Diceros bicornis minor: one gene and its partners. The protein of the gene in region 1 interacts with the protein of each later gene in a biochemical or structural test. Links are inferred from orthologs where the notes say so. Each region holds a gene or a part of one and is shown in the gene's direction. Other genes may lie near its edges.

Evidence for each region.
Region 2: of the proteins of KAT2B (region 1) and histone H2B type 1-B, one has a biochemical effect on the other in vitro, tested with the Homo sapiens proteins (3 studies listed by BioGRID). The link is inferred for Diceros bicornis minor from reciprocal best matches to the Homo sapiens genes KAT2B and H2BC3.
Region 3: of the proteins of KAT2B (region 1) and KLF13, one has a biochemical effect on the other in vitro, tested with the Homo sapiens proteins (2 studies listed by BioGRID, with this or other methods). The link is inferred for Diceros bicornis minor from reciprocal best matches to the Homo sapiens genes KAT2B and KLF13.
Region 4: the proteins of KAT2B (region 1) and IRF2 form a complex in vitro, tested with the Homo sapiens proteins (2 studies listed by BioGRID, with this or other methods). The link is inferred for Diceros bicornis minor from reciprocal best matches to the Homo sapiens genes KAT2B and IRF2.

What each region holds. Positions count from the first base shown.
Region 1 is NC_080741.1:25,827,517-25,835,247, forward strand, and holds the start of KAT2B (histone acetyltransferase KAT2B), read left to right. Parts: upstream 1-4,713; 5' UTR 4,714-4,724; coding exon 4,725-5,018; intron 5,019-7,731. UniProt on the Homo sapiens protein: Functions as a histone acetyltransferase (HAT) to promote transcriptional activation. Has significant histone acetyltransferase activity with core histones (H3 and H4), and also with nucleosome core particles.
Region 2 is NC_080753.1:42,262,413-42,267,937, forward strand, and holds histone H2B type 1-B, read left to right. Parts: upstream 1-4,562; 5' UTR 4,563-4,587; coding exon 4,588-4,968; 3' UTR 4,969-5,017; downstream 5,018-5,525. Other genes in the region: histone H2A type 1-like, read right to left, coding at 3,859-4,251. UniProt on the Homo sapiens protein: Core component of nucleosome. Nucleosomes wrap and compact DNA into chromatin, limiting DNA accessibility to the cellular machineries which require DNA as a template.
Region 3 is NC_080744.1:78,296,013-78,303,963, reverse strand, and holds the start of KLF13 (Krueppel-like factor 13), read left to right. Parts: upstream 1-4,934; 5' UTR 4,935-5,292; coding exon 5,293-5,878; intron 5,879-7,951. UniProt on the Homo sapiens protein: Transcription factor that activates expression from GC-rich minimal promoter regions, including genes in the cells of the erythroid lineage. Represses transcription by binding to the BTE site, a GC-rich DNA element, in competition with the activator SP1.
Region 4 is NC_080768.1:16,193,141-16,200,972, reverse strand, and holds the start of IRF2 (interferon regulatory factor 2), read left to right. Parts: upstream 1-4,832; 5' UTR 4,833-4,903; coding exon 4,904-5,080; intron 5,081-5,789; exon of another isoform or gene 5,790-5,996; intron 5,997-7,832. UniProt on the Homo sapiens protein: Specifically binds to the upstream regulatory region of type I IFN and IFN-inducible MHC class I genes (the interferon consensus sequence (ICS)) and represses those genes. Also acts as an activator for several genes including H4 and IL7.

The sequences.
Region 1 (7,731 bases):
AAATCTAGGTCATATCAAAGTTTGGTTCTTTGGAAATTTGATTTTCTTACATAATTTTCAAGTTGCTCAAAGAGATAAATACTCATATTGCTCTAGAAAAGCAGTCAGCCATTTAGCTTGAGTTCAGAAGAAAGGAGACTTCATTTTTTTTCCTTACTTTGTACCTTCATTGTAAATGGCAGGTAGGCTGCTAAAACATGCATGTGTTAGTATTTAAAACAGAAAACAACCCTTTCTCCTTACAAGGGCAATGCTCTGCCAATCACATTTAGGCCCATTCATATTAAATATGGGAAATTGTTATTTAAGAACAGCTAAAAATAAAAATGAATAAAATAGCAATAAGTGTATATGAGGCATGGTTAAGACTCACATCAGAAATGACGATTTAATCGGGTAAATGCTTGAAAACTAGAGATTTTATGTCTCCCCACCTTAGGATTCATTTTATAAATTTTTTTCAGTACTTTTTCTTTAGAAGTATAGATTTTGTTTTAGAGATCATTAAAATAAATGTCCAGTACTCACAGCCACTTTCTCCAGTGGGAAGTCGGCCCAAGGAGCTCCACACTGAGACGTCTACCTGACGTGTCTTTATTTTACACTCATGTCAAGCCGCTGTCTCTAAAAGCAGGTGGCTGTGCCAGGAAGGATGTTAGCCACTGGCCACACAGTGGGGCAAACCTGCTCTGATACTGCCTGGTCCAGACTTAGCCCTTGGTGTCTGAGCCCTCAGTGGGGACAATTTCAATCCACCTGTGGGGTTCAGGTGCATTACAGAAGCTGTGTGGGCTTGGAAGGAAGGAAGATGGCAAAAAGGTAGTAGACGTTGGAGTAACAATAGATGGTCACAAAACTTGCCTTTCTTAGGTGGGACGGCATCTTTGAGCAAGGGATACTAGATGAATAGGGGCCAGCCATGCCTTCTGGGGGAGGGTGTCAGGCAATACAGCACATGCAAAGCTCCTGAGGCAGGCAAGAGCTTCCCGAGTTTGGCTGGAGTGTACCTCACACCAGGGAGAAGGGCCAGGGGAGGTGAGCCTTGCCAAACAGGTTAGGGAATTGAGACTGTAATTTAAATGTTAGGAGAGGCCATTGGAGGGTTTCAAGGGGAATTGTGGGATCAGGTTTGCATTTACAGTTGTAAAACTCTGTACTGTGAAGAGGGGATTGTGGTACAGCAAGAGTAAAAGCAGAGAGACCAGAAGGAAGTTGTTGTTGGCACTCTGGCCGAGAGGTGACAGCCATGGAGACAGATATGAACAGATCGAAGATAAAGTTTACAGGTAGAAATGACTACTAGTATTTATTGAGAGCTTTTTTTGAGTGAGGAACTGGGAATACATAAATGAGAAAAATAAGTTTCATTCTCAAGGGTGCCCAGTGAAAAGAAACTACATTAATGAGTTTACTGTGTATCTTTCTAAATCTTCCTCTTGGTTTTGCACTTTTGTATGCACTCATTGAACATATACAGAATTGTGCTTATATGTCAATGTGAGTTTGTTTTTAACATAAATGGTATTATACTGTACAAGGTTCCTTCAACAGTATTTCTTGGAGATCTGTCTAGGCTATTACATTTGTATAAAAGTTATTCTTTGTAACAGCTGCGTAACACTCTATAGGATTAATATACCAGAAGCAACCTCCAGTGGTCAACCCGCCCCCTGCAACTCCTACTCTCCAAGCCCTTTATTTTCTAATTGTGGCTTCCTTACCTCAGTAAGTCATGCCAACCTAAATAAAGAGGTAAACTGAGGCAAGCTTGAACCACCAGAAATTGAGTTTATTTGGTAATAGCTGAGGAACTGCAATTCTGAAAACGCATGCTGTAGCAAGCTACAGGCGAGTCCATTAAAGGTTTTGGGTGGGCTGGATTTCTGGGCAAGGAGTGCAAAGAGAGGGAAGTCCAGCCAGCAGTAAGTTCATTGGCTTGAGGCTAGGGAGAGATTCTTGGCTGATGTTCATTGGTCAGGAGGTAAGTCTTATCTTCTGTAATTCAGGCATTTATGGGAAATCAGTCTCTCAGTTCTTAACTTCTGTTCTTCTGAGGGTGAGTCTCCATTTCATATCCTCCAGTTCCATTTTAGATGGAAATCCTTTCACAGTTGTAAATACTTTGTAAACTAAAACATTGCCTTTTATTTTCTTGGTACCCACTTTGTAAAAGGGCTCTGCACACAGGAGCTTACTAAATAAATATTCACAACAGCCTGACTATGAAGAGGCAACAAGCCTCCTGAATCCTTTGCCCTTGAAATGTCCCTGCCTGGTGCTCATAACGCTTTGAATAGGTCGTGAAAATGTGGGCCTTCCGCCTAAGGCAGTATGTCATCTGGGTGTTCAGAGCAGGAAAATAATGAAAAATAATGTTCAGTTGATGTCACAAGCCATTCACCATTCAGACAGTGATGGTTTTCAAGGTGGATTGAAATGAGGTTGTTTTCTTCTGCTTCAAAAGATCCTGGAAATAGCCTGCCTCCTGAATTCTGGGGACAGCTTGGGAGGGGGAGGTGATGGCTGAATTAATATTAAAGCTGGATTTCCCTCCTCAACATTTTATTATGGAAAATTTCAAACATACAGAAAAGTTGAAAGAACTGCACAGTGAACACTCCTATACCCACTACCTAGATTCAACTATTAACATTTTGCTCTACTTGCTTTATTATATATCTGTTCATCTGCCTATTGGCCCATTCACAGATGCATCAATCTATCTTATTTCTGCATCTCAAAGCAGGCTGCAGATATCAGGACTCTGCACCCCTACACTTTCAGCATGAGAACCATTAACTAGAATTAATATTTATCTTTTCTTTTTTTTTTTTACTATTTGAGGGAAATTTATATCCAGTGAAATGCTCAAATGCACATATTTGCTAACATCATGATGTTAGATTTTGAACAGGGCATCACAGCCTTTAAGAAGCCCATCCTGCTTCGGTGAGAACCGCAAAAAAAAAATCTGCAAAACACCTCAGAAGAGCCAGCAGGCAAGTAAGTGTCCTGATGGAGCCTGATGAGTCTGCCATTTCAGACCTTCACACCGCGCGGAAGTTGGAAGAGGCTATTGCCTTCTGTGCAGTCTAATGTCACTATTTAGATCTACAAACTTTTTTTATTTATCATTTTAACATATCACTCTGCATTAAAAGTCAAAAGAACATAGAGAATCTAGAAAAAGGATAGAACAAATTAACTGACAATAACGGGATGGGAAGGGGAATGTTTCCAGGGAAAGCACATTCCTTAAGGCGTCTCTGGTTGGAGCTGGGCGAGAGTTACACGGCATGCAAAGAATTTGATAATACGCACATTATGACCCATATTACATAAAAATTATGACTCATATTACAAAAGCAGGGCACTTGTGAAGGGTCCTGAAAAATAACGCTGGGCTTTTGCAAACTGCTTTAGAAAGGCCAACCAAGGGTGCACAACTTTCAAATGAAAAACTGAAATATGCACTCCACAATACTAAACACCACCCTCATTGTCATTAACAATGAAAACGACAGTTTTCAACAGTTTCAACAATAGATGAAAATGCTGAGTTGAGTTTTTTGTGTGTGTTTTTTTTAAGTTTGAGGCCAAAATCAACACTCATTCTTTTGGATGCTGCTTAAATTTTTTTCACGGTTAATATGCATGCTGGTGATATCAATTTTGAAAACTATGGAACATTATAGAAAAGAAAAAGGCAAGGTTAGAATCCCACCATGAAGAGATGAACCGTATTAACCAACTTTTTGTATTCAAACTTTTCCCACTGCGCATAGTTTTCATTCTGACAGCGCTTTCAGACAACCGTTCCTTTAACAGCCAGCACTTTCAAACAAAATTTACAGAAAATATTGATTCACAGTCTTTTCCTTCCGCTGGCAGATTAGATCCAGAAATTGCTATAGGAAGAAAAGCATTCTTAAAAAAAGTTGGACAGAAAAGCGTTTAAAAAAAAATAGGAAACATGACGCTTTTATTTTGGTGAATTAGCAACAAAGAAAAGGATTAGCATGGACGGGTACTTTTCAAAAATATTTTTTTTCCTCTGGCTCCCGCTAGGGTGGAGGAAGTTGTCTCTGTTCCGAGAGAGGGTGGAATAGAGGCGAAGAACAAATAACTGGGAGTCTCCCGCGCCCCACCGCCCCCGCCCCCGGGGGGGGGGCTCGGCAGGGCGGGGGTCGGCCGGGGGGGCTGCGGAGACGGAGGCGGCCAGCAGGTGCCTGGGCTCCGGCCCCCTACCCCCACCCTCATCCCCCCTCGCCCTCACCCCGAGCGTGGCCTCGCCCCCTGGCGGGCGAGCGCCGGGCGCCGAGGCGCGGGGGTGGGGGGCGCAGAGCCCGCGGGCCGCGGGCCAGAGGCCGGGGCGCCCCCGGTGCGCAGCCCCGAGGAACATGTCGGCGGCCAGGGCGCAGCGCGGAGCCCCGGGGAGCACTGGGGGAGGGCGTGTGCAGTGGCGGCGGCGGCCGCGGAGCCGCTAGTCCCCTCCCTCCTGGGGGAGCAGCTGCCGCCGCCGCCACCGCCGTCAGCGCGCGGGCCGCGGCCGGAGCGCGCGGCGAGCGGCGCGCGGGGCGGGCGGGGGCGGGGAGGGGGGTGGGCGCAGGGGGCGGGAGGGCGTGGGGGAGGGTCTCGCTCTCCCGGCGACCGGAGCCCGAGCGGGAGACCCTGGCGGCGGCGGCGCCTGACACTCGGCGCCTGCTGCCGCGCTCCGGGGCGGCATGTCCGAGGCTGGCGGGGCCGGGCCGGCCGGCGGCGGGGCGGGGGCCGGGCTCGGGGCGCTGCCCGCACAGCCCCCCGCGCCGCCGCCCGCGCCCCCGCAGGGCTCCCCGTGCGCCGCCGCCGCCGCCGGGGGCTCGGGCGCCTGCGGACCGGCGACGGCGGTGGCGGCGGCGGGCACGGCCGAAGGACCGGGAGGCGGCGGCTCGGCCCGGATCGCCGTGAAGAAGGCGCAACTGCGCTCCGCTCCGCGGGCCAAGAAACTGGAGAAACTCGGAGTGTACTCCGCCTGCAAGGTACGGGCTCGCCGCGCCGGACCGCCGCGGGGGGCTGGGGCCCGGCGGCGAGCCCCCTGCCCCCTCCCCCTCCCGCCCCCGCCTCCTGCCTCCCGCCCGGGGCCGCTGCACCGCGGAAGTGCTGCTGTCGCCCGCACCCAATTAGCTGCTTCTCGGACAAGAGTCCTGTTGGGTTGGAAGAAGGGGAATCACCAAGACCGAGAACCTTTCATTGCTCCCCTCGGAAGGAGTTGCCTCTGCGTCCGCGCTCCTGGGTTGCCCTGGGGCTTTGTTGCTCTGTAGGAGCCCGCCAGAGGCGCCTCCCAGGGAGCGGAGCAGTGCTCAGTGTGTGGCGAGCGCCCCGGGGCCAAGGAAACATCTTTTTGGGGATCTTCGCCCGTCCTCTCCCCGTGCCCCATTGGAAGGAGCTAGGTGGGAGGAGTGAGGGTGGAATAGGCTCCCGGACTCCCGGCGCTTTGGGAGATCGAAGGGGCGGAACGCGCAGGGTGGGAAGAGGGGCACAGCCCGACGCGAGGGTCCTGGAGCTCCGGGCGCTCTCGGCTGAGGGCAGAGGCGCTGCGGCGCGCGGTGACAGCCTCGTCATTATTGTATTATTACTTGTTTAGTTAAAAGGCTGTCCCAGCTGCTCCGGGTGTAAACAGGATTTGGCAAGATGACAGCCCAGCACGGCGGGCGCGACTGCTTAGTTTGAGGACGCACGTTTCTTGCCATCCCCTCTCCGTCCCAGCCCTCGGCACCCCGTAGCCCCTCAGCTGCAGATCCAGATGTGGGCGCCGTGCTCCCGGGGTGGGAGGATTGCCCGAGGCCGCGGGGCAGGCTGGCCCTGCGCTGTCAGCAGCGGCTTTGTTTTGACAGGGTGACAGCTGAGGGGGGCGGGGACTTGGCCTTGTCAGCTCCCGAGGCCTGTGGCTGAGGCGGGGAAGAGACACAGGCACACACCTCCCACGTATTCCTCCCGCCTACTGCAAACACGGTCAAGTTCCCGGGTTTCAGATTCACACAACTCAGCGGCAGTGGCCGCTTCTGAATTTTGGACTAGAGATTATTAATCCTGCTAGAACCCGGTTCCCGGTGATGCTGTTTTTAGTATTTACAGGAGCTTCTCAACCGCAAGGAATGTCTGTGCTTAACCCCTTTTTCAGCACCGTTCACATCCTCATGTGTATGTTGAATGCCCACTGTGTACCCCACACTGGTTCAATAAATATTTGTTGAATGAATGTAGGATCCAGCCCATTGCTTCTCAGACTTTAATGTGCGTAGGAGTCACTGGGGGATCTGGTGAAAATGCTGACCCTAAATCAGTAGGTCTGGGGTGGGGCTGAGATTCTGCATTTCTAACAAACTCTTGATGATGTGGCGCTGGTCCACTGACCCCACTGCAAGTAGCAAGACCCTAGTCCAGAACCAGACAATATATTAGTCCCTTTTAAATTCAGCAAAGAAAACTGAAACTGTGAGGCAATAATGCCACACGGCTGGTGTTTCTGAAGAAGACAAGCAAAAAAGATAAAGTGGAGAGTGTGCTTCTAAGAAAGGTGAAAAGCCAGGAGTTGGTTCTGAAGGGCGTTAGACTGGTGAGACAAGACTTTGAGTGTGGTAGGCAGAAGGGAGAACTGCTCAGAATCAAGACCAAGGTCAGTTACGTGGTGGGCTTGGCCTTGGGCAGCCAGAGTGGGCTCCTGGAGGAACTGTGTCAGCTCTGTGTGTGTCCCAGCTGTTAGTTGGGTTCCCATCGTGAGCACCTTCTCTCCCTGCTGCCTGCTGTTGAAAACTTCATAGCTGAAAACTTGCCTGAAGTTTTAGTCCTATCTAAACCCACGAGCCTATGTGCCCTACAATGATATTTTTGATCCTTTTATATTTCCATGAGTGAGATGTAGCACCTTTTCTAAAGTTTGGGACTTGAGGGTTTCATGTTCACATTCGCTACCAAGCTTGTAGGTAAACTTATAGGGAAAAATCTCTCTTAGTAAAGGCCTTGCTTCCTGCTCCTGGGAGACTCTGAGAGTGCCTATTTTTATTTGCTCATTCATTCAGCAAGTATTTAGAGGAGTCCCAACTAGGTGCCAGGCGTTGTGCTGGATGCTGGGGCTAAGACACCCAGAATCTGTCCATCTGGAGCTACCGACCATGCGTGTGTACATGTGCACACATGCGTGTATTGCAGGCCTGGGAAGGTGGGCAGTGAACCAATTCCAGTGACGTTCAAAAAAACTGCTTTGTTAGAGTGGCGTTAGAACTCAAAGCAGGGCAGTTCATGGGCTGCAGCACGGAGGGGTGGGGATGGCTTCCTGGAGGAAGTGTCAGTGGGTACTAAGGACTCTTGGCAGCGCAGGGCTGGGTGAGGTGAAGCTTCTTGTAGTGGGGAAACTGAAAGTTATGAAAGCTTGGAGCTGGGCCAGCAGGAGCGAGCGCTCCATTGGCTGGGCCACAAGGTTGGGGCGGTGTGTGTCCAAGAGGGCATTGGAGAATCCAGGAGTCTTAACCTGGGGAGTAACATTATCTCAGATTTCCTTTTTTTTTTTTTTTTTAACTGTGCTTGATTGGGGTGAGGGGGTATGAGAAAGCAGAATCTGTGGTTCTTTCTCAACTGGTCTCTACCCTTCGTATAAGAAAGACCAAAAGGACAGATTCTTCTACCTTCTGTCCCTAACCGGCCCTTGGCAAGTTGGAGAGAGTAGAGGTTAGGGAATGAGGAGGGACCTGGAAA
Region 2 (5,525 bases), on another chromosome or scaffold:
CTGAGAAGAGTACCACCATCCAAAGCATCATGCAAAGCAGTGCTGTACCTCAGAGGCCTGAGAGTCATCCAAGACCAGTGACTCTCAATTCCTAGGGCACTTGACTGAGATGTGCTAGAACAGAGTGGTGGGAGGGCAGGTGAAGACCATGTATCAGTTGGAAAAGCATAGTCAGTTCCGAGGCAGATTTACCCTGAAGCTAATTGAAAGTCAAGTGTCAGGCCTTGTGCTTCCAATGCCCTGGGAGGGGCCCCTGGGGGTGTGGTCTCTCGGTCTCATGTTTTTAAAAACTGCAATGTTAAGATATTTTAATCACAGCTGGTTAAAATCATTATTTCCACTCAATTTTCCCTTCCATTACAGTTCACCTTTTGTCTGATTATGTTGGGATGCTGATGAGCATATTTGGGATTTGTGAAGAGAAAATTTACTTGGCTATGTATTTAGTTTGGAGTTAATGAGGTGTATAGTGTAATTTGCAGATGTGCTCATATATAGTTCAGTTGTTGCTAGCCAATCTGATGTAAGAATTGCTTCAAGGAATATTCCTTCTGCTCACTGACAAACTCCCCTGGATTTCTTGCAAGAAGATGCAGAACTAGATGCCATGTGCCATTCATGTATTCATAGCACCCAGCACTGGGAATGAGTGCACAGTAGAGAAGAATCAAGATTTGAAATGTATAGAGCCAGAAGCTAGTCTGTGAAGAATTCTTCCCAATTTTACATTCACATATGAAAGAAGCTTGACAGAGGATTTTCCCAACTTTGAAAACAATCTTAAAAACTTACTTGACTTTATCAACAATGTTTTGAAGCTGAAACTCTTCCAAGTTATCAAGAGAATAAAGCAAATTGTGATCAATCACCCTGGAGCAAATACTGAATTCTCTTCCCCTTGTCTATAAAAAAAATATTACAAAATATTTATTTGAAAATGGAATCAGAGTATGCAGTCAAAAATACAGAAAAACAAAGGTTTATGGTGTTGTATTTGGGTTAATGTGCTATTTTTCTAAATTCTGTGATGGCTATGGTTTTGTCTGTTTTTGTAATATTGGAATTTGTTGATTTATTCCCCTATTATAAACTAACATTCACTGTCTGGTTTTGTATTTGTAATTTTGTAAGGTAGTTTTTAAGAGTCACCAAGTTGTATAAGCTTTAGGGCTCAGAAAACCTTGATCTATTCCATCAGTTACATTATACTTTTATATTTGGAAAATTAAAAAAGAAATTAACAGGGCCAGCCCCGTGGCTTGGCGGTTGAGTGCGCGCGCTCCGCTACTGGCGGCCAGGGTTCGGATCCGAGGCTCGCACAGACGCACCGCTTCTCCGGCCACGCTGAGGCCGAGTCCCATATACAGCAACTGGAAGGATGTGCAACTATGACATACAGCTATGTACTGGGGCTTTCGGGAGAAAAAAAAAAAAGCAGGATTGGCAATAGATGTTAGCTCAGAGCCGGTCTTCCTCAGCAAAAAAAAAAAGAGGAGGATTAGCATGGATGTTAGCTCAGGGCTGATCTTCCTCACAAAAAAAAAGGAAAGAAAAAAAAGAAATTAACACTTGATGTTTTTGTATTTATTAAAAGGGGGGCATGGGTAAAAGAGAGAAGCTCTATAGTTGATACCCTTCAGTATCTCAGATATCATTGATTTTAAGCGTAAGCAAAGGAACTTTGGAGTTCCTAACAAGTCATCTTTCTTGTTGCATAAACCTATTTAGTGGACCTCTGGTGGTGAGTACTGAGGTCAGTTTCTATCGCCTCAACTACAATCCCATTTCAGATAGACCAATACCGGATTCTGGAGCCAGATGTGAATGTCTTGTGGACTACTGGTAATTTTATGTATACTGATATTGCTGTTAGACTTATTTGTATTATGTTAGATGGATTAAAAGTAGGAGTGACAGGGCACGGTCAGGGTCTTCTATATAAATATACTCACTGTTGTCTTGGACCAAATTCAGTTAAACAAGAAAATATGAGAGGATCAATATGAACGTGTTTCTGAAAACTAAAGACAAAAGATAACTACTTTAGAGAAAATTCTCTGGACAATCCAAGCACAAAAGCTTACTTTGGCCTCCATTTCCTGTACACAAATATAGTTTTTTGTGCCTATGTCAAAGTAAAATAATTGCTTTCTACAAGTCACTAGGCAACACGTGGCTATTTAATAGTTAATAGGTCTACTGCCGCTTACAGCGATCTCATTTAAATCTAGAAAGCAGCCAATTAAAGTCTCAAATACGTGGTATTAACTATACGCCTTCAAGCTTTACATACTTACACTTTTTTACAATGCGTAGTATCTTACCTATTAGCAATTGAGATCTACAATCAAATTACAACTGCTTTTAAGTGAAATTGTGGGTGGCTCTGAAAAGAGCCTTTTTTCAATCAAGAGGAAAAGCTTGTTTTATGCTCTTTCTCCGCGAATGCGGCGCGCGAGCTGGATGTCCTTGGGCATGATAGTGACGCGCTTGGCGTGGATGGCGCACAGGTTGGTGTCCTCGAAGAGCCCCACCAGGTAGGCCTCGCACGCCTCCTGCAGCGCCATCACGGCCGAGCTCTGGAAGCGCAGGTCGGTCTTGAAGTCCTGCGCGATCTCGCGCACCAGGCGCTGGAAGGGCAGCTTGCGGATCAGCAGCTCGGTGGACTTCTGGTAGCGGCGGATCTCGCGCAGCGCCACCGTGCCGGGCCGGTAGCGGTGGGGCTTCTTCACGCCGCCGGTGGCCGGCGCGCTCTTGCGAGCCGCCTTGGTGGCCAGCTGCTTGCGCGGCGCCTTCCCGCCGGTGGACTTGCGAGCAGTCTGTTTTGTGCGAGCCATTGGAGCGACTAAGGACAAACCCAGAATCTGTGGCATGCAGAAGCCAAGTTGCCTTTAAATATAGTTAGAAACATTCTGATTGGTCTTGTCATTTTTCAAAAGTCCCGCGCGATAAAACCATTGGCTCAAGGGTAACCAGGAGGATTAGTTCATTACTAGAGAATCTGATTGGCTGAATTATGCCACCGCCCATCCCTGTACTATTTTTTAGTCTTTGAGACCTGAAGGTATTAATTTTCAAATGTTCTGTTTCATCCTGTCACCAAGTACAGTGTGCATAACTAGCCATTTAAGGACCATGTTGAATGTAACTTCTGATTCAGTTAATCTGAGTGGGACCTGATACACTGAATTCTTGACACGCTCGCAGATATGTCAATCCTGCTGGTCGGCACACTAAATTGAACCTTGTTTTCTTTTCCCCAAGTTGAGTTAGCTTTTTAAAAAATAAATCTTGAATCGCCTGGACTGCCGCTTCCCAGCTCTTAGTCATTTTATCTCCCCTAATCCCGAGTCTGTTTTCTCTTGTGTGAAATTACATGGCACTAGGTTCCCTGGGTGGATTATTTGGAAAATCATATGTAAAGCGTCTGGTCTAGTAATGCCAGATAACACACTGGACCGCAGCAAATGTTCGCTGACTTGTGTTGGACAAATGGTTTTTGCTTAAATTGAAACTCAAAAACCCCGAGCAGCTCTATTATCAGCCAACGGAAAATTTTCCCTGCTCCTTGTTAGTCTCGAGTTCGAGTGACATTCCTACCCTGGCTTTATTTTAAAAACACCTTGTCGGTTTCCCAAGTGTCACCTGTAGTGCACTAAAATAATTGTTGTGGACAGCCTATTTTTCTGGAACTGAAACGTTTTAACGGTACCTTGTATATTGCAAAGATTCAAGACTGATATTACCAACGAGGCGTGGCTTCGGTTACCAGCTTTTTTGTGAAACTATGGATGGCTCTGAAAAGAGCCTTTAGGTAGCTGAAAAACGTGAGAGTTATGTGTTGTTTTGTTGTAGACTTTACTTGCCCTTGGCTTTGTGGTGACTTTCGGTTTTCTTGGGCAGCAAAACAGCCTGAATATTGGGCAGGACGCCGCCCTGCGCGATGGTGACTTTGCCCAGCAGCTTGTTGAGCTCCTCGTCGTTGCGGATGGCCAGCTGCAGGTGGCGCGGGATGATGCGCGTCTTCTTGTTGTCGCGGGCCGCGTTGCCCGCCAGCTCCAGGATCTCGGCCGTCAGGTACTCCAGCACCGCCGCCAGGTACACCGGCGCGCCGGCCCCCACCCGCTCGGCATAGTTGCCCTTGCGGAGCAGGCGGTGCACTCGGCCCACGGGGAACTGAAGGCCGGCTCGGGATGATCGAGTCTTGGCCTTAGCTCGGCTTTTACCTCCCTGTTTCCCACGTCCAGACATAGTAATCTAAAGAAATTCAACAAAACCTTTGCAGAAGGCGAAGAAATGTATACCAGTGCTTGAAGAAATTATTTTATGCACAGTGCAAGGATGCGCTAGTAAGCTATCCGATTGGTCACAATGTACTGTGTTCTATCCAATAGGAAAAGAGAATGAGAATCCCTGATTTGCATAAACATCTCCCCGTAGTGTGCTGCTCTGTCCAATCAGGAGTGACAAATCTTGAACCTTCATTTGCATTTAAGAACTATAAATAAATGGGCTCTGGACTGTCTGCAGTACTAGACTTTGTTGTGGAGAGTGCTATTCGCGTTTCTACAGGTTTTGGGAAAAGCCATGCCTGAGCCTTCCAAGTCGGCTCCTGCCCCTAAGAAGGGCTCTAAGAAGGCTATCACTAAGGCCCAGAAGAAAGATGGCAAGAAGCGCAAGCGCAGCCGCAAGGAGAGCTACTCCATCTACGTGTACAAGGTGCTGAAGCAGGTCCACCCCGACACCGGCATCTCGTCCAAGGCTATGGGCATCATGAACTCGTTCGTCAACGACATTTTCGAGCGCATCGCGGGCGAGGCGTCGCGCCTGGCGCATTACAACAAGCGCTCGACCATCACGTCCAGGGAGATCCAGACGGCCGTGCGCCTGCTGCTGCCCGGGGAGCTGGCCAAGCACGCCGTGTCCGAGGGCACCAAGGCCGTCACCAAGTACACCAGCTCCAAGTAAATGCTTGTGTAGGCACCACCTTAATCCAAAGGCTCTTTTCAGAGCCACCCACTTTGTCGAAGGAGATCTGTAACTGCCCTTTTTTAGTGGAATAATTGTCTTGACCACTGATTAGTTTGAGTCCTAAGGAATTTATTCAAATAACGTTGCTAGTTGAGGCAATCTTAGAGCCAAGATGGTGCTTTGAAGGTCACTTCGCTTTAAGAGAAATACAATTCTATAGTGCAGTGGCCAAAAAACAGCTATTTCACATCTTTGTATTTCTAGACCCACGTTCCATTTCCCCCTGACCAACCCTCCAGGTGCTCTTTAAACTGTACATGGAAATACTCCTCCCCTCCCTGCCTCTGTACGTTTCTGATGGAGATTGAAGTTTCCCTGCTGGGTAAAGAAGCGGTGTAAGGATTTCAGAGAAGTAGGAACCCTAGGGATTATTTAGGCTGCCCTAAATAAGGGGGGGGGGGCGGTGAATAGGCGCGTCCGGACGGCAGAAAGGCTAGTTAGGGCCCCTAGCCTTTCTTTCCGGAGCCTGAACTCACCCTGTCCTAGAACATTGG
Region 3 (7,951 bases), on another chromosome or scaffold:
ACGGATACTGTCTGCTGGGTATCTCCCACCTCTCCCCTTTCTGAATTGGGCTCTTGTGTTATTCTGTCCCTTTCCACCACTGTGCATTGGGATTGTGTACTGGGGCTGAGGGTGGGATGGGGCCGCAGACGATTTATCTTTAGGTTATAGGTCTCTAGACCAAGAAGAACCCCACGAGCCAGCCACATGCATCACATGAAGAAACCGCTGAGCCTCCTACAGAGGTCCTGGACCTGGACCTGGACGCTGCAGAATCTCCCTCACCTCGAATCCCTGTCACCCTTCCACTCTCTGTTTCCTGTCTCTCGCTTCTAGATTCACATTTAAAAGGTTCATGAGAGTGAATCAGGCCCACTCGCAGACGGGGAAAGTGTATTTTGCGTGTGGGAAAGAAGGCATGAGTGATACCTCTGGGTTGATGCTCTCCCTGTCCCTCTGCCATGGTATGTTCTACACAGAGGCTGCTCCATCAACCTGGATGTCCTCAGGAGCCTCACTATGGACACACAGCATGGCCAGAAAGAAACCATTGAGATTTGCAGGTTGATTGTACTGCGGCACCGCCCAGCCACTCCTGACCAATACAGAGATTCTATCTATTTCACCTCCTGAAGAAGTGTCCCCAGAGCTTCTGACCTGCTCCAGCCTGGCCTGGAGGCCCTCTGTGCCTCTCTCCTCCCTCCTGTGTTGAATGTCTGCTTTCTGGATCACATACTTCTCTTTCTTGGTGAAGCATGATTTCTAGCAGCTTCCTACCATGAGAAAGGATGCATGGAAGGTCAATTTTTTGAGACCTCATGCATCTAAAAATACTTGGTATATACTTTGGCTGGGTAAAGACTGGAAAATAATTTTCCTTTAGATTTCTCAAGGCTTGGCCTCCTGCCTTCTATCTTCTACTTGTTGCTGTGGAGAAGCCCACAGCCACTGTGACTCCTGACTGCCTCTATGTGACCTGCTTCTAAAGTCAGGACACTTTCTGTCCCCATTATTCTGAACAGCGACATGCTTTGGGGTACGGCTGTTTTCTCCCATTGTGCTGGCCTCCTTGTGTGCCTTTTCAACACACGTTCTTCAGTTGTGGAGACTTTTCTTGGGTTAATTCATTGATGATTCCCCCCTGTTTTCTCTGATCACTTTTTTTGGTTTCCTACTATTTAATCAATGGACTTTCTGGGTGGTCCTCTGATTTTTATTTTTTCTCTCCTATTTCCCATTTTTGGGGTTCTTTTTTTCTGCTTTCACAGAAGTTTCCTCAACTTTACCTTCCAATCCCTCTCTTGCAGGTTTTTTCATTTCTGCTACCTTATTCTAAATTTCCAAGAACTCTTTGTTTGCTCTCTGAATGTCTGTGTGTCTTCCTTTGCTGGGTTGCAATATCTTCTTTAATTTCTCTGATGACATTATTGATAGTTATGTTGATGTGTACTTCTCTCTGCATAGTCTCTGTTTCCTCCAAGTTGCTTTAAAAAAACCTATTGGGGCTTTAGATTTCATGACACAGGATTTCCTGAAATGCCAGGTCAGCTTTGGTTCTCTGTGACAGACCAATTAGAAGCTCTGTACACATGCGTGGGGGTCATTAACTGTGGCCTTCCCTCCAGGGTGATCTGGCTGTTTAGTTGGGCAACAGCAGATGTCAGAAAGTTCAGGTGTTCTCCTTGGCCTGGGATGATGCCCTAGGAAAGACCCTTCCAGTCTCCTGGCTGCCTGCATTCTGATTCCCAAAAGGGAGCTGGGAGGTGGTCTCAGTGTCCCATATCTGTACGTTCATTTCACCCGCCTGTTCCTGTTATGGCACCTCTGACCTTAACTGTGCCTGGTGGCTCCCAGCCCAAGATACACCCTTTTACCTTCTTCAGATAATAAACATCCAGTCTTTTGTCAGGATGGGGGAGGCTGCACGGAATTGGGGGTGGGGGGATTTGGGCATCTGAGTGCTTCTTAAGCAGACTTGTAGCCAATTATTCTTATTTTAGCCCCCTATTCACACCCACATCCAGAGGTACCTAGTGCCATCCATTTTTGAACCTTCTGGAGATTCCGCAGAGTTTCTTCTTGGCTTTTCTTCCTAGCTACATAACAGGATTTCATTTCCTCAGGTCTGCTAAGTATCTTAGCTTCAAAAATCGTGTTGCTGTTACTTCCTGCCTTGCTCGCCCTGTCCTTGCCAATTTCTACCTGACAACAAACAAACACTGTTGTTTCAGGAGGCTCCAGAAGTTGGAGTCAACACATGCTATCAATCCACCACCTTTTCCAGAAACCTCAGCCACCTCTGCAGTCTTTGCCTCTTTACTCCCCAGACACATCTGCATCCACTTGCTCTGGTCTGATCCTCCCTCCTCTGCTTGTGTTCATTCTGTTCCTTCCATGCGACACTTGATGCCCATCCACCCTCATATATATACATAAGCCACCTCTGTCAAAATTCTATTTAGCAAGGAAAACAGGGACCCGCAGCCATGGGTAGATTTTCTCTGGGGGAGAGAACTGTATTTATCTGGAGAATATTTCCACGTGGGGCTGGGATAAAACTTGCCGGACCTGAGGCTTCCTCCAGTGAACAATCATCAAATGCTTGAGAAACCAGCCAAGAGGCTGAGTTTTGCATTTAGAATGCCACCGGGCACAGCCAAAACCCGCAGGGAGGCCACACTCCGAGATGCCTGTAGACTGTGTCGCACTGTGGATGGGGTGAGGTGTGTGTCAGTGCAGAAGACCCTTGACCAGGTTGGCCTCCCCTCATGTAGGGCAGATGTCTTGTCCACTCAATGCCTACGATAGTGCCCACTGGTAGGAGCCCCCCATGTGTGTGCAGGCTGGGGTGTCCCAGCAGAGGTCATGAAGAAGTGGAAAAATGTGGAACCTTGAAGACTGGGCAGAATCCTGCTGGCTAGAGAGGGACGGGGAGGGGATGTGTGGCTAAGTCAGTGTCGGGCCAGCTCCATCCTTAATAAAGTGACTGATTGTGACATGTGGTGGGACTGGAAGAACATTCTGAATCATTATTTGGTCAGAACACAAATCTCTTAAATGTCATCAACACAATCTGCCTGGGAGAAGAATGGTTACTTCCTGCCAAGAAGAGACCCTCTTAGAGGAACTTGACCCAGCGGGCCGTACAGAGCCACCCCAGCACAGCGCGCTGTGCAGTCTTCCCAGAGGGCACAGCTCCATCAATGAGGGAACTTTAGGGTTAGAGTTACAGATACTCTGGGTACTCGAAAGTCCACGCCGGTTCACAGTTCACCATGACATGTGACCCAGAATGCCTGGCTCAGTTTCTCTTGGTTACCTGGAAAGAGAATTTTTTTCTACCCAGGCCCCATATTAACTTGGTGAGAAATGACTGCTCTTAATCGCGTGGGCAGCACGACGCTGCCCCACTCACCCCTCTTCAGTCTACAGGGGTTGAGTGCCTAGGCTGCTTTCACTCTCCAGGCTGCCAGGGAGGGCGGCTGACACGTTCGAACGTCCATCGAGGCAAATGAACCAGGGGCTGCAGACTCTGGCCTGTCTCCCGGAGTCAACGGCTGCCGGCGAGGGTCCGGAAAGGGGCTTGCTGCGCTCGGTTTCGAGGCAGTAGGAAGTTACGCACCGGCCTCTCCGGCGATGGCTTAGGCCTGGAGAAGAAAGGCGAGGGCTGTGGGGTGAGTGAGGGTGGCGGCACCAGTAAGACTCAAGGGCAAGTTGGCGGGCCGGGGCGGGGAGACCGCGGCGGGAGCGGCCCGGCATTTTCTTCCGGAGGCCCAGACAGTGGGGTGGGTGGGGCGCGGTGGGCGGGGTCCTCGCAGCTGGTGGCGTTTGAAGCCTCCCCGACCGCGGCGGGAGAGGGGCAGCCTGGAAGTTGGCAGCAGGCCTGGGGCGGGGAAGGAGAGGAAGGGGCCCACGTTCCCCGAGCGCGGCGCCAGCCGCCCCCAGCACGTAGTTCACTCCTGCAAGCACGGGACGCGGTGGGCACGTCACCCACGCTGCCAGGTTAACCACCGGCTCGGGGCCAGTCCAGCTTCGGGTGACCCGGGCTCAAGGGCAGCGCGACCCGCTTCGGCTTCCCGGCCGCCCGGACCAACCGGGGGAGCTCCCGGTCCCTCCTGCGGGAGCGGCCCCGCCCCATCCGTGACCCCGTTCCCGGCCGGTCCGCGCCGAGGGCCCGGCGCTCAGCAGGGGAAGAGCGTGGAGGGAGCGAGTGGCCTGAGTCTCAGGCGAGGCCACCCGGGAGCCCGGCGACGGTGGGGAGCGCAGGAGTCGTTCCTCCCCGAGGCGAAGCCGGCAGCTCCGTGCCGGGCCAGGCGGACACGCCTCCTCGCCGCGCAAACCTAGCTCTGGAGAGGAGAAGCGGAGGCGAGCCCCGCCGAGGCGCACCCACCCACGCGCCCCTCACGGGCGGGGACTGGAGGGACAAAGGGGCGCTCGCCTCCGCGCTGGGGTTCAAGGCTGTCACAGTACAAAAGCTCTGGTAGGAAAATACCCGGCGGAGTCCCCGCTGCGGGGGGGCAAAAGGGGAACAGCACGCGCGGCCACGCCCCGACCCGCCGCCCTCGGACGTCGTGCGTCAGCGTGCCCGGCTCCCTGCTCCCATTCCGCCCCTCCTCCCGCCGGCCAAGGGGGCACGCCCATTGGCGCGCGCAAGCCCTGAGGCCGGGCAGGCCCCTCTTGGAGGCCCGGATTGGCTTGGCAGCGTATCCACGGACCAATGGCTCCCACCCCTGTCCTCAGCCACGCCCCCTCCCCAGGCGCGGGCGCGCGACCGCGCTATCCTGTCGGTGCGCGCTCCGGGATCCCCGCCCCCTCAGCGCGCGCAGCTCCCCGCGGTCGTCGCCGCCTGTAACCTGCGCCGCCAGGATGTGGCTGGGGGCTGACGTCGGGTCCAGATGTGGCCCCGGCCCCGCCCACCCCCGGGGCCGGGCCGCCCACACTGAGCCGCCGCGCGCACGGCGGCTGTCTCGCCTGCCACAATGCGCGGCGAGCTTGCGGCCGCGACTTGGGGCGGTTGTCCCTAACGTCGCCGCTCGGCATCCTTAGAATAGGCCGCCCCTGACGCCGCGCGGGGACCCAACTCTCCCGCGCCCCCCATGCACTCACTCATTCGTGCCCGGCTGGGCGGACGCCTCGCGGACGCGGAGCCGCGCTGGTGACGGCAGAGGCGGCTGCGCGCCCAGCCCAGCCCGCGGAGAGGGCGCGCCGCGCCCCCGCCCCCAGCCCGCTCTCCGGAGGCCGTGGGTGCGGATGCGCCGCTGACGACTCGCAGCGACTAGCAGTGCCGCCGGCCCGCCGGCCGGAGCCCGCAGCATGGCAGCCGCCGCCTATGTGGACCACTTCGCCGCCGAGTGCCTCGTTTCCATGTCGAGCCGCGCGGTCGTGCACGGGCCGCGGGAGGGGCCGGAGCCCGGACCCGAGGGCGCGGCCGCCGCTGTCGCCGCCACGCTGCCCCTCGTCGAGGAGCGCCGCGACGGCAAGGACAGTGCCTCGCTCTTTGTGGTGGCACGGATCCTGGCGGACCTCAACCAGCAAGCGCCGGCGCCTGCCCCTGCGGAGCGCAGAGAGGGCGCCGCGGCCCGGAAGGCGAGGACCCCCTGCCGCCTGCCGCCTGCGCCGCCACCCGCCCCCGAGCCCGCCTCCCCCGGCGGCGAAGGCGCGGCGGCCGCGCCCCTCAGCCCGGCGTGGAGCGAGCCGGAGCCCGAGGGGGGTTTGGAGCCCGAGAGGGAGCCGGGGCCCGCGGGGAGCAGCGAGCCCGGCCTCAGACAAAGGGGCCGCCGGGGCCGAAGTCGCGCTGACCTCGAGTCCCCGCAGAGAAAGCACAAGTGCCACTACGCGGGCTGCGAGAAAGTTTACGGGAAATCCTCGCACCTTAAGGCGCACCTGAGAACTCACACAGGTCAGTGGGGCGGCCCGGGCGCCCCGAGCGCGCGGACCGGGGCCAACGCGAGCCTGCCTGACACGCTCCCGGAGCCGCTGGCCGGGCTCGGGGGGCGGTCGGGCTGGGAACTGCACGGGTCTCGCCCCTTTCCCCGCGACTCGGTGTTGCGATCGGCCCCGCGCGCCGCGTGGGGCGGGTCCCGGCGCTTGGAGCCGGCGCCCGCCGGGCGACCGCGCCCCCGCCGGGCACGCCCCCTCTCCCGGCGCGCTCGGGCGGGGCCGCGGGGGCGGATATCGTCATCTGGGCTGGGGGCGGGGACCCCGCCCAGACCGGGGTGGGGTAGCTCGGGCAGGTGCGGGAGAGCTGGGTGGGGGCTGCGGTGCTGCTTGTGGAGATGGGTGGCCGGGGCGCCCGGGAGCAGCGGGGGAGGGGGTGCCCTCGTCCGCCCCTTGCCTGTCAGCCCCTCCCCCGTCTGCTGTGCGCGCCCTCGGGAGGGGAGGGGCCGGTAGGGCTCGGGCGCGCGGCGGGCGAAGTTCACCCGGGGACAGGGTTCCCTCCAGCCGCTCGGCACATTCTTCGCTCTCCTTTTCCTGTAATTTTTCCAGCGCCCTAAGGTTTAATTTGTCGAAACCAGAGCCAGCGGCGGCCGACGCGGGGGGCGGTCCGGGTTCCCTGTCCGCAGCTCTTTGTGGGAGCCCCGCCCATCCGGCCCGCGGGGGCGCGCCCGACCCGAGGGGCTCCTCTGCCCGGCGGCGCCTTCTCCAGAAAGGAGTGCCCTGCCCGCTGCGAGTGGGTCTGCGCCGCCCTCTTCCCGGTCCTGCTCTCACCTGCCGGGGACCGGATGCGGGCGGGCGGCACCTGCACGGGGGCGGGCGGCCTGAGCCGGCAGCCTGGGGGCCGGGGACCGCCGCCCCGCCGCCCGCTCTCGATTCCAGGGCAGCACTTTCCATCGCGCAGGCCTGGGATCTTGTAGTTGATTCATTGTGGTTGTTTTTTGTTTTTTAAACACCAAGGTGGAAACGTTTTAACAGATGGCAATCTTTCTTCCCCAGTTTGGTTTAAAGAATTCTATATTTCTTTTGCGCTCATGCGAACTCTTTTGTGACATTTAACTTTTCCACATTTGGGGCAGGTTCAAAACCCGTTTGGGTACTTATAAGCTTGTACTGTTGCCTTGTAACCAAACGTTTAGCCTTCTCATTTGTAAGATAGTTCACAAGCTGACTTAAAACTGCAGCCTTCACGGCCAAAGAGCTGAAGGGCCCCTTTCTCTCGGTAAATTTGGAATGGAGCGGCCCAAGGTTTGCAGGTGTCACGGACCGCGGATAACAGAGGAACCGTCCCTTCGGAGGCTGCCCCCGCGTTTCTGGTCCCACGCGCTGGCCGCCCCCAACCACCTGGCAGGTGGTGGGGTGGAGGGTGAAGGCGGGGCCATTTTTAGGAATTCTGAGTCAGAATTAAGGGTGTGTGGACCCAGATCGGGTGTGGGGTTAGGGTAGGAGTGTTAGTTCAGCTTGGGAACGTACCTGCAAGGGTGGGTGTGGCTGTGGGGGAGGGGCCAACCTTGGTTCGGAACCAGGTAGATCCTGAGTTCTAGGGCTGGGGCAGCGCTTCGGGCGTGGCTGGGGTTGAGGACCGCGTTGGGGGGCGAGGCCGGTACTGGGCGGGAAACCTAAAGATTGGAAAATCTTTTTGTAGCCAGTTTCACTGTGGTCTCCCACCCGGCAGCACCCGCTAGCCGGGTTCGCGAACTGCGCAGGGGCTGGTCGAGGGGCGGGGCTCGCTGTCGTGGGCGGGGCCGGCCTGGGCCGGGGGCATCTGTCGCGGGATGGCTTCCGGATTGGCTCGCCCCCTGGTCCAGGCTCTGTGGGCCCTGAGCGGGCCCCTTGGCTAGCAGATTGAGGCAGGGGCGCTGGGAACCCGCGCCTCCCGTGTTGGGGTGGAAGCCAGTCTCTGTGTGGTGCCTGGAAACCCTAGGCAGGCAGAAGAGGATGGAAGCAACACTCTGCTTGCATTGTGACTATGTCTATTGTTAGAGCAGGGAGCCGGTCGTCCAGGTGTGCAGAAACTGGAGGCCTTACCTCCAAAACG
Region 4 (7,832 bases), on another chromosome or scaffold:
ACAGAGAAATTATAGCAAAAAACGGTTTATTAAGTTTTCAAAGTTGAAAGCCTTCCTTTTGGACAAGAAAAACTCTCTCGCTCCCTTACACACACACACGTATATCCTGGCAATTTTAAAGAGTATTTTTTCCCTTACTTCATCAGAAGAACAGGACAAAATTAATATTTATTACTAAGGATTGGGCAACATATTACTCAATTTAACTTTGTTATTTTCAGAAAATAATTGCAACAAAATGAACCTCATTTCAGAGTTTCTGGTAAAACGGGAAGAAACCATTACATGAAGTAATAGTCAAGAATTTCACCAACTTGGTGCCTATGTTCCTTGAACTCTGATCGAAGGCTTTTTCAACATCTTCACAGTTCTATTGTCTCCACTAAAATCTAACTTGGCTGTATGTTTCTTCAACATGGACTTCACAATAATATCCTTTGCAACGCAGAACTGGCATCTATGGCTCTGTACTGGCCCACTGCTCTGGCAAGCGTGGAACACTCATTTTCCATGATTTTATAACCCCTGAATTATAGTACCATGGAGGAGAGCCTCCGTGGCCAGGACAGAAGTGGTACCGGTGATACTGTGGAGAAGAGTGGGGCATCAACTGACAGACTGATGAGGGGCCACTGATTTAATCACAGCTATAAATACCTAACACTTCAGTTAGTATGCCATCATAATCTACATTCTTAACTTTAACGTCCAGTTCTAAAGGCTGTGATTGTAGATGGAGGTGATGTGGGTGCAATTACTGGGATAATACAGTGGAAATTAACATGCCAATATACTAGACTGTAAGAAAACTTCTTGGAAGGCAGCGATTTTCATTCGTTTTGTGCACTGCTGTATCCCAGTGCTGAGAAAATTTCTTGGGCACTTAATTAATGTTTGTGACTTGAATGATTATTTTATGAAACTATTCTCATTTATTAGAAAAATAAATAAGAAATCCATTTGAAAGGAGTTAACCTTGAATGTATCTTTAAATTTCTTCCTTAGTTGAGATCCATTCATGGAGACATCCATCACTACATGTCCCGGGAATCACTGTCCTTACTTGACTCCCCTGAAAAGAAACTGGTCCTGATGCATCCAGGTGGGTCTTCTTTTATGATGTTCCATTCCACAGGTAAAATACAAGAATGCCTCACTGAGGACACCACTCTGGTTTCATTATACAAGACTGTTCCAACAAGGGTGTTTGTATTAGACCAAGGTGTTTGGTCAGATTTCTTTGGTATGGCAAAGGTTACTTTTTCCAGAGACTTTCAAAAAGGTTATATTTTGCTATCTTGATCCATTTTCCACAGAGATTTATGACTATATGCATCTCATCAAAGGGCTAACAAATATTTCTTGACTGTGTATATAATACCATGTGGATTTTGGGGCTGTATTTACAAGGTCTGCAGTGACGTCATCAGGGGCATGAGAAGAGTGAAATTCAATCTATGCTTTGTGAGTTTAGGGGCATGGAACATTGGAAGCAATACTCATGCCTCAGGGAGCTCCAGGGGCCCAGGAAAGGCAGGAGTCTGTGATGCCTCCCCGTTTCCTGGCTGGTTAATGAAGTGACAAATACAAGGTTGCAGGGAAAGGTGTTATGAGTCTAGTTTTACACATGTTTAATTTGTTGCACCTAAGGAACCTCTAGGAGGTAATGCATCCAGAGCTCAGAAATGACAGATTCTGGAGTTATCACCAAACAGCGATCTCTGAAGCTTTGGGTGTGGGTGAGAGCACTCAAAGAGAAAGCAGGTAGAATGAGAAAATAGGAGGGTTGAGGATAGAATGTCTGGAAACACCATAATTTAGGGGGATGGCAGCAGAAGAGGAGCCAGCCAAGAAACAGAACAGGACACAGGGATATCACCCAGGCATCATGGAAATGGCAGCACAATGGGCGTTACAAAATGATAGAGAGATTGAGCAGATGAAGACTGGAAATGGCTCTTTAGAAAAAACTACTAGGAGGAAATACATAAAAATATCAACAGGTCTGTTCCTGACTGGTGAGATTTCAGGTGGCTTATTTTCTTCTTTCCAGTTTTCTGTCTTCTGTATAATAAGTATTGATTACATTTATATTAAAAAATAAAATACTCTGATAAAGTCTAAAATATTTTATGAGAACAAAGGGCAAGTAATTATTAATTCACAAGTATTTGAATGCCTACCTGCCAGGCACCATGCTAAAGATAAAAGAAGCGAGAGGATGGCTCTGTTGTTTTACGAAGAGGAACGGCAGCTGGTTTGACAAGGGAGAGGTGGACAGCTTGCGGGGCACCGTAGCAGGAGATGAGGCTGGAAAGGTAGTTTGATGCCAGATTATAATGGACTTTATATGTCTTGTCAAATAAAAGGGACTTTATTCTTAAGGCTGCAGGGAGGTTTTTGAGGGGTAGAGTTAAGACTGGAATTGTGCTTTACCTGAAGTTAATTTTCTACTGAACTTGGAAGTAGTGTGGCCGCTGGCTCGGAGGAGGCCAAGTCAGGACACAAGGAGCACAGTGACGAGCCACTGCTGGAACCGAAGGAAGGCAATGCGGTGGGGATGCAGAAGGGGCCAGGTCCAGGGAGATCTGGGACTAGCATCAACAGGTCAACAGGATACTACTGATTGGAGTATGTTGTGGGGAAGGAAGATGTCAAGGACTACTGGGTTTTTAACTTGGGTCCATGGGTGGGTAAGGAGTGACAGCAATCCTACAGAGTTTGTATATAGTGACTCTGATTGCTTTATAGTGGTCTTTGCTACAGGAAATAAGAAAGTGAGTGGCTGTGACACACAGTATTCTACGAGACGGATAAGAAAGAACGTGTGTATGTGAGATCTATCTCTGAGGCTGCAGCCACAAAATAGAATCCTAAACCTTCAGCTCTCTCCTCACGACATGTGCATATTTGGATACTTTTCTTTTTCTAGTTCATAGAATTCAGTACTTCTGTGGCAAAGAGGGGTCTTGGAGTTATGTTTTTAGGAAAGTGTTTACATATAAATAGCTATGGCCTCCCAGGAAGGGAGTTTCCCTGTTGGGTAGAGAAGTTTGGGAGGAGGCTGATGAAGCTGCCTGTGGGGGAAGAAACAGGTATAATTAGATGAGAATGCATCATTTTAAAGCATGGGACCAAAAAGCAGTAGGTCCCAAGTGAATTGTATCAGTTTGAGCTTGAAGGTGACAGGTACTGTACCTGTATTCTTGCATTCTCATTTAGCCCCACTTCACAGAATTGAAAACTGAGGGCTCAGGTTAAGCAACTTGACCAAGGATGCCCAGCTTGGAAGTTAAGGAGTACAAATTTGAACCTGGCTGAAAGTACTACAGTGTAAAGCCTCTTTCCTGGGCCAGCCACGGCCAAGACATCTTTAAGTAAAATCACATCCTTGCCCATGTCATCCTGGAGCAAGGTAACGCTGTTGCACTGGAGTGTGCTACTGTTGACGTACTAGAGGAAGGCCTTCCTTATCCCGTGGCTAGCCCCCAAACAGGGCGCCAGGTGGTGTCAGAGATGGCAGCAGCCCCTCGCATGGTTACACTCTCAACTACTGATAAGGGTTCAAACGAGGTTAAGGATGCAAGTCACTTGGCCCAGTTCTTGCATTAATATCTAAGTAACGCTGTCTTGTCAGTTAATTATTCCTTATATTTCTTTGAGGTGGGCAAATTCATTCTGAAGACAGCGGTTCTAAACACCTGCCCTACCCACAGGATAGCAAGAGCCCCTTTGCTTCCCCGGACGCCCTCCTCCTCCCTCCCGCCCAACCTCCAGGTAACCCTTAGGATGGAGAGGCAGGTACCCGCTTTCCTCTCCTACAGCCATTAGCTTCTGGCCTGAACCCGAGCTTGCGCCCCGTCACCCCCAGACCCCCGGGCCCCCCGAGTGTTCGCGCGGCGCATGGGAGCGCCCCGGTGTGCGAGAGACAGACTCACGAGCAGCCGCTTGTTGCTCCCACTGCCGCGACGTGGGGAAGTGAAAATGAAATTGACTTTTCCGAGAAATGATGACAGCGGCGCTGCCTGCCAATGAACGGCGGCGGCGAACTTCCGCACCTCCGGGCCGGGCCGCGCGCGCCCTCCCTCCGCCTCCACCTCCCGGTTGCACAAGCTTGAAACAAACACTGGGGAGGAAGGGCGGAGGGAGGAGGGCGGAGGGGGGAGCGAGGGAGGGAGCGAGGGAGGGAAGCAGGAGGAGGGCGGGGGGTGGGGGGATTTCCAGCCTCGGCTCTTCGCAGTTTCCTCTCCTTGTTTTGCTTTCGATCTGGACTGTTCTCAGGCAAGCCGGGGAGTAACTTTTAGTTTTGCTCCTGCGATTATTCAACTGACGGGCTTTCATTTCCATTTCATACACCCTAGCAACACTTAAACCTTGCGGAATTGTATTGGTAGCGTGAAAAAGCACACTGAGAGGTAACATTTTTCAAATAATAGTTGTGACTGTGCGTGTGTGTTTTTCTCGAGGGCATGTTTATGAGGACCGGAGGGGAGATGTATGCGTGCGTGTCCTGATGGTTTGACACGATGTTTTGCAGACGGAAAATGCTGAGGTTCATAAATATTAATACCGATTTTTGGAGGAACAGTCGGCGCCGTTATGGATCATCTGATTTTAGGGGAAGCAGGTTCTGCTGCTGTTGCTGCTGCTACTGGGGCTGCTGAGGCTGCAGAGAGGAGGAGGAGGTAGAGAGGGAGGAGGAGGAGGAGGAGGAGGAGGTCGGTGGAGGTTTAATTTCACTTTTGGATTTGCAGATGCGGAGAGGTGGCTCCATGGACACGGACCTGCTCTGTGTGATTCTGCGCCCCAGGTGTTGTGTGTGGGGGTGCAGGTCCGCTGGAGTCGGGCCTCCTTTTTAAAACAAAATTGTCGCGGACATGTGTGTGCGTGTGTGTGTTTACAGATGCCGTCGCCACCAGATCCGAAGGAGGGGAGCGGGTCCTTCTGGGTGCCCGGCGGCGGCGCCCCTCTCCAGGCAGCCTCCAGCGTAAATAAGCAGAACCCGCTGCCCGCCGGGCTGTCTGCGCCCGCGCCCCGGCCGGGAGAGGCGCCTCCAGCCGCGGCGAAAGGAAACTTGATGGTGCGCCCCGCGGCGGTCCCAGAGCTCGCCCGCCCCTGGGGCTCGGGGAAGGGGCGCAGGCGGCGGGTGCCAGCGGCCGGAGCCGGCGGGCGGGCTCGGAGCTGGGCTGGGCGCCGGGCCTGGCCGGCACGCCCGGCTTCCTGGGGGCTGGGCCGCCGCCGCCGCTCGGGGGGGACGCCGCGTCCTCCTTCCCGCCGGCCAGCGCCCGGCCTGGCCCTGGGGCTTTGTCACTGCACTTGTCCTGGCGCGCGGGGGGCTCGGGCGGCGCGTCCGGGGAGGGCGGCGCGCCGAGGGGTCATCTGCCCCGGCCGCGGCCTAGCCGGGCGCCTCCGGGTCCCCGCGGGCGCCCCCGGGCCGGCCTGGCGCGCTGGGCCTGACCCGCCTCGGCTACGGAGCGGGCGAGGTGGGGGCGGGGAGCCTCGGGGGACCGAGCGGCGCCCTGCTGGCAGGCGTGGGGGCCGGCGTCCACCGGGGGTCCTGGGGCGCGGGCTGCCGCGGGGTGGGGACGTGAGTGCCCGCCCCGCGCCCTCTGACCCCGCTCTGGGCGCCGAGTGGCATCTGCCCGCCGGCCGAACATGGTTGGTGCAAAGCCGCGGCCGCCACTTCCTCTCCGCCTCGCCGGCCGGGCTCGCCCACCGAGCGCTGCCCGCCGCGGCCAATCGTGGCGCCCGCCCGCCTGCGGCCGCCCTCAGCGCCACGGCCTGGGCGCCGGCCCCCGAGGGGGGCTCGGAAGCCTTTCCAAGTTCGGAGGGCGCCAGGATGCCCCTCATCCTCCTGCCCAGGACGCAGTGGCATCTCCCTTAGGCCCCAGGTGTGGGTGCGTTTGCCGCGCTGACCCCCTTGCCCCGTTAGAGGCGGAGAAGGGAAGGAGGCTGGCAGCCCGAGCCGGGCGCAAAGACGGTGTTCCGGGCACCAGGTGAGGCACCCGGGTCAGTCGGTGTAGGCAGGACCCTTGGTCATCAGCTGTAAACGTGACCTCTGGGACTGGCAGTCGAGGTTGCCTTACATTGGCAGCGTGGCCTTCACCCATCTTTAACCCCATAGGATAGTCCTTGGAACTTGGGGACATTTTACCCCAAGAGGGAGGGACTCCCTCTTCAGCCTCTTCCCTCCAGTGTGGGCAGTGGGTAGTGCTCCTCGTCCTTGGTTGCGGAATAAGAAAACGCGGAGTCCTTCTAAGTGAGGAATAGTGCTGGCGTTTGCCTCCTGCCCCTGGCCTCCTTGTTGCTGTGACTCGGTCTGCTTTTGATGAATGGCTCGGGAGGGTGGAGGATAGTTACATTTCCTGTTGTGGATTTTCAGGAATCACCAAGGTTGCTGTCAAGCCTGCAGTCTTTTATTAGTTTTCAGACTGACTGCAAATAATTGGAACTTAGCAGCCTGCACTTTTTGGTGCTTGAGGGCAGGTGCAGACAGGGGTCTGGTGACAGACTGAGTATGGAAGGTGGATGGTCTTGATGTTCCACAGATGCGCGCTCCCTTACCACGACCCCGAGGGTGATCCCTGTTTAACTTCGTCGTGCACACAGATTCAGGATTCTCTAGTTTTCTCAAACTGCTCCCCTCCCCCCAATCATTCTTTTTTTGGAGAGGGAAAGGATGGAAATAGAAACCTAAAAAATCCTGGAAAAACTTGTCTTTTTTAAGGAAACTTCCGCAGATGGAATGTTTAGGACTTAATATGGCATTTCTAAGGGGTAATTTTGGAACATTGATTGATTGAGGTGGCAAAGTCCGGAATTTCACTGTAATTAGTGAATGATTATAATTTATAACTTAGCCTGTTGTGTAAGAAGTTAGATTTTGGCCTCTAGATCCCAGAGTTCTTGTCTGTTATGATTTGTAGCTGCTTCTTAATATTAAACATTTACATATTTCATTCTCAATGAGTTGTCTCTTTTTCTGCTGACCTTCAAAAGTTAGAGATAATTCCACATATTTCAGACCCACCTGTAAAAATGTCATCATAATCAAAAGTAAGGGTTTGTAGTTAAATTGGAAGCAAATTATGGCAAATGGTTGTCCTCAAGTACTGAAAACTCTATGAACTGTGGCCGCACTTTTCTCTTTCTCTGCTTTCTGAAGTTCTTTATTAGGCACATATTCAATATACCAAAGCTAGTTAAAGATGTTTAAACTTAGTAGTGAAAAATTTGAAACTTTGGTTGTTTTACATGTGATGTGCATCGATTTTCCCATGTTGCCAAGGAAAGTGTACTTTTATTCTTAGTATCATTGAGTATAAGCTGTAGTTTTCAGAGCATTTTCACACAATTTCCTTTTGATAGAGAACAGACCACTGAACTCTAAATGGGGTATCTGGGACATGGTTGCATTACATGCTTTATACCAAAAAGGTCTTGAAGCAGACAAGGGACTTTATTTATTCATTTCATAAATATTACTAGAACATTCACTATGCCCCAGACACAGTGCTGGGCTCTGAGGGTTCAACTGGGAACAGGAGGACAACTTCTCTACCCTCTGGGGAGATAGTGCATTCTAGTTGTTGAGCTGACAGTACACAACTGAAAAATAAGTTCAGTAGCTGCCTAGTGAGGTTAGTTCTATGGAAGGTGATAATAATACTTAACTGTGTATCTGATAGGGTTGCTTTTGGGAACAAATGAGATACTGTATGTGAAAGACGGTTGCATAAATTACAGCAATCTACCAATGTTTGAGACATTAACTTTCAGAATTCTGTCAGATTATTAATTTAAAAAAGCCAGGGAGTCATGACGGTGGATTA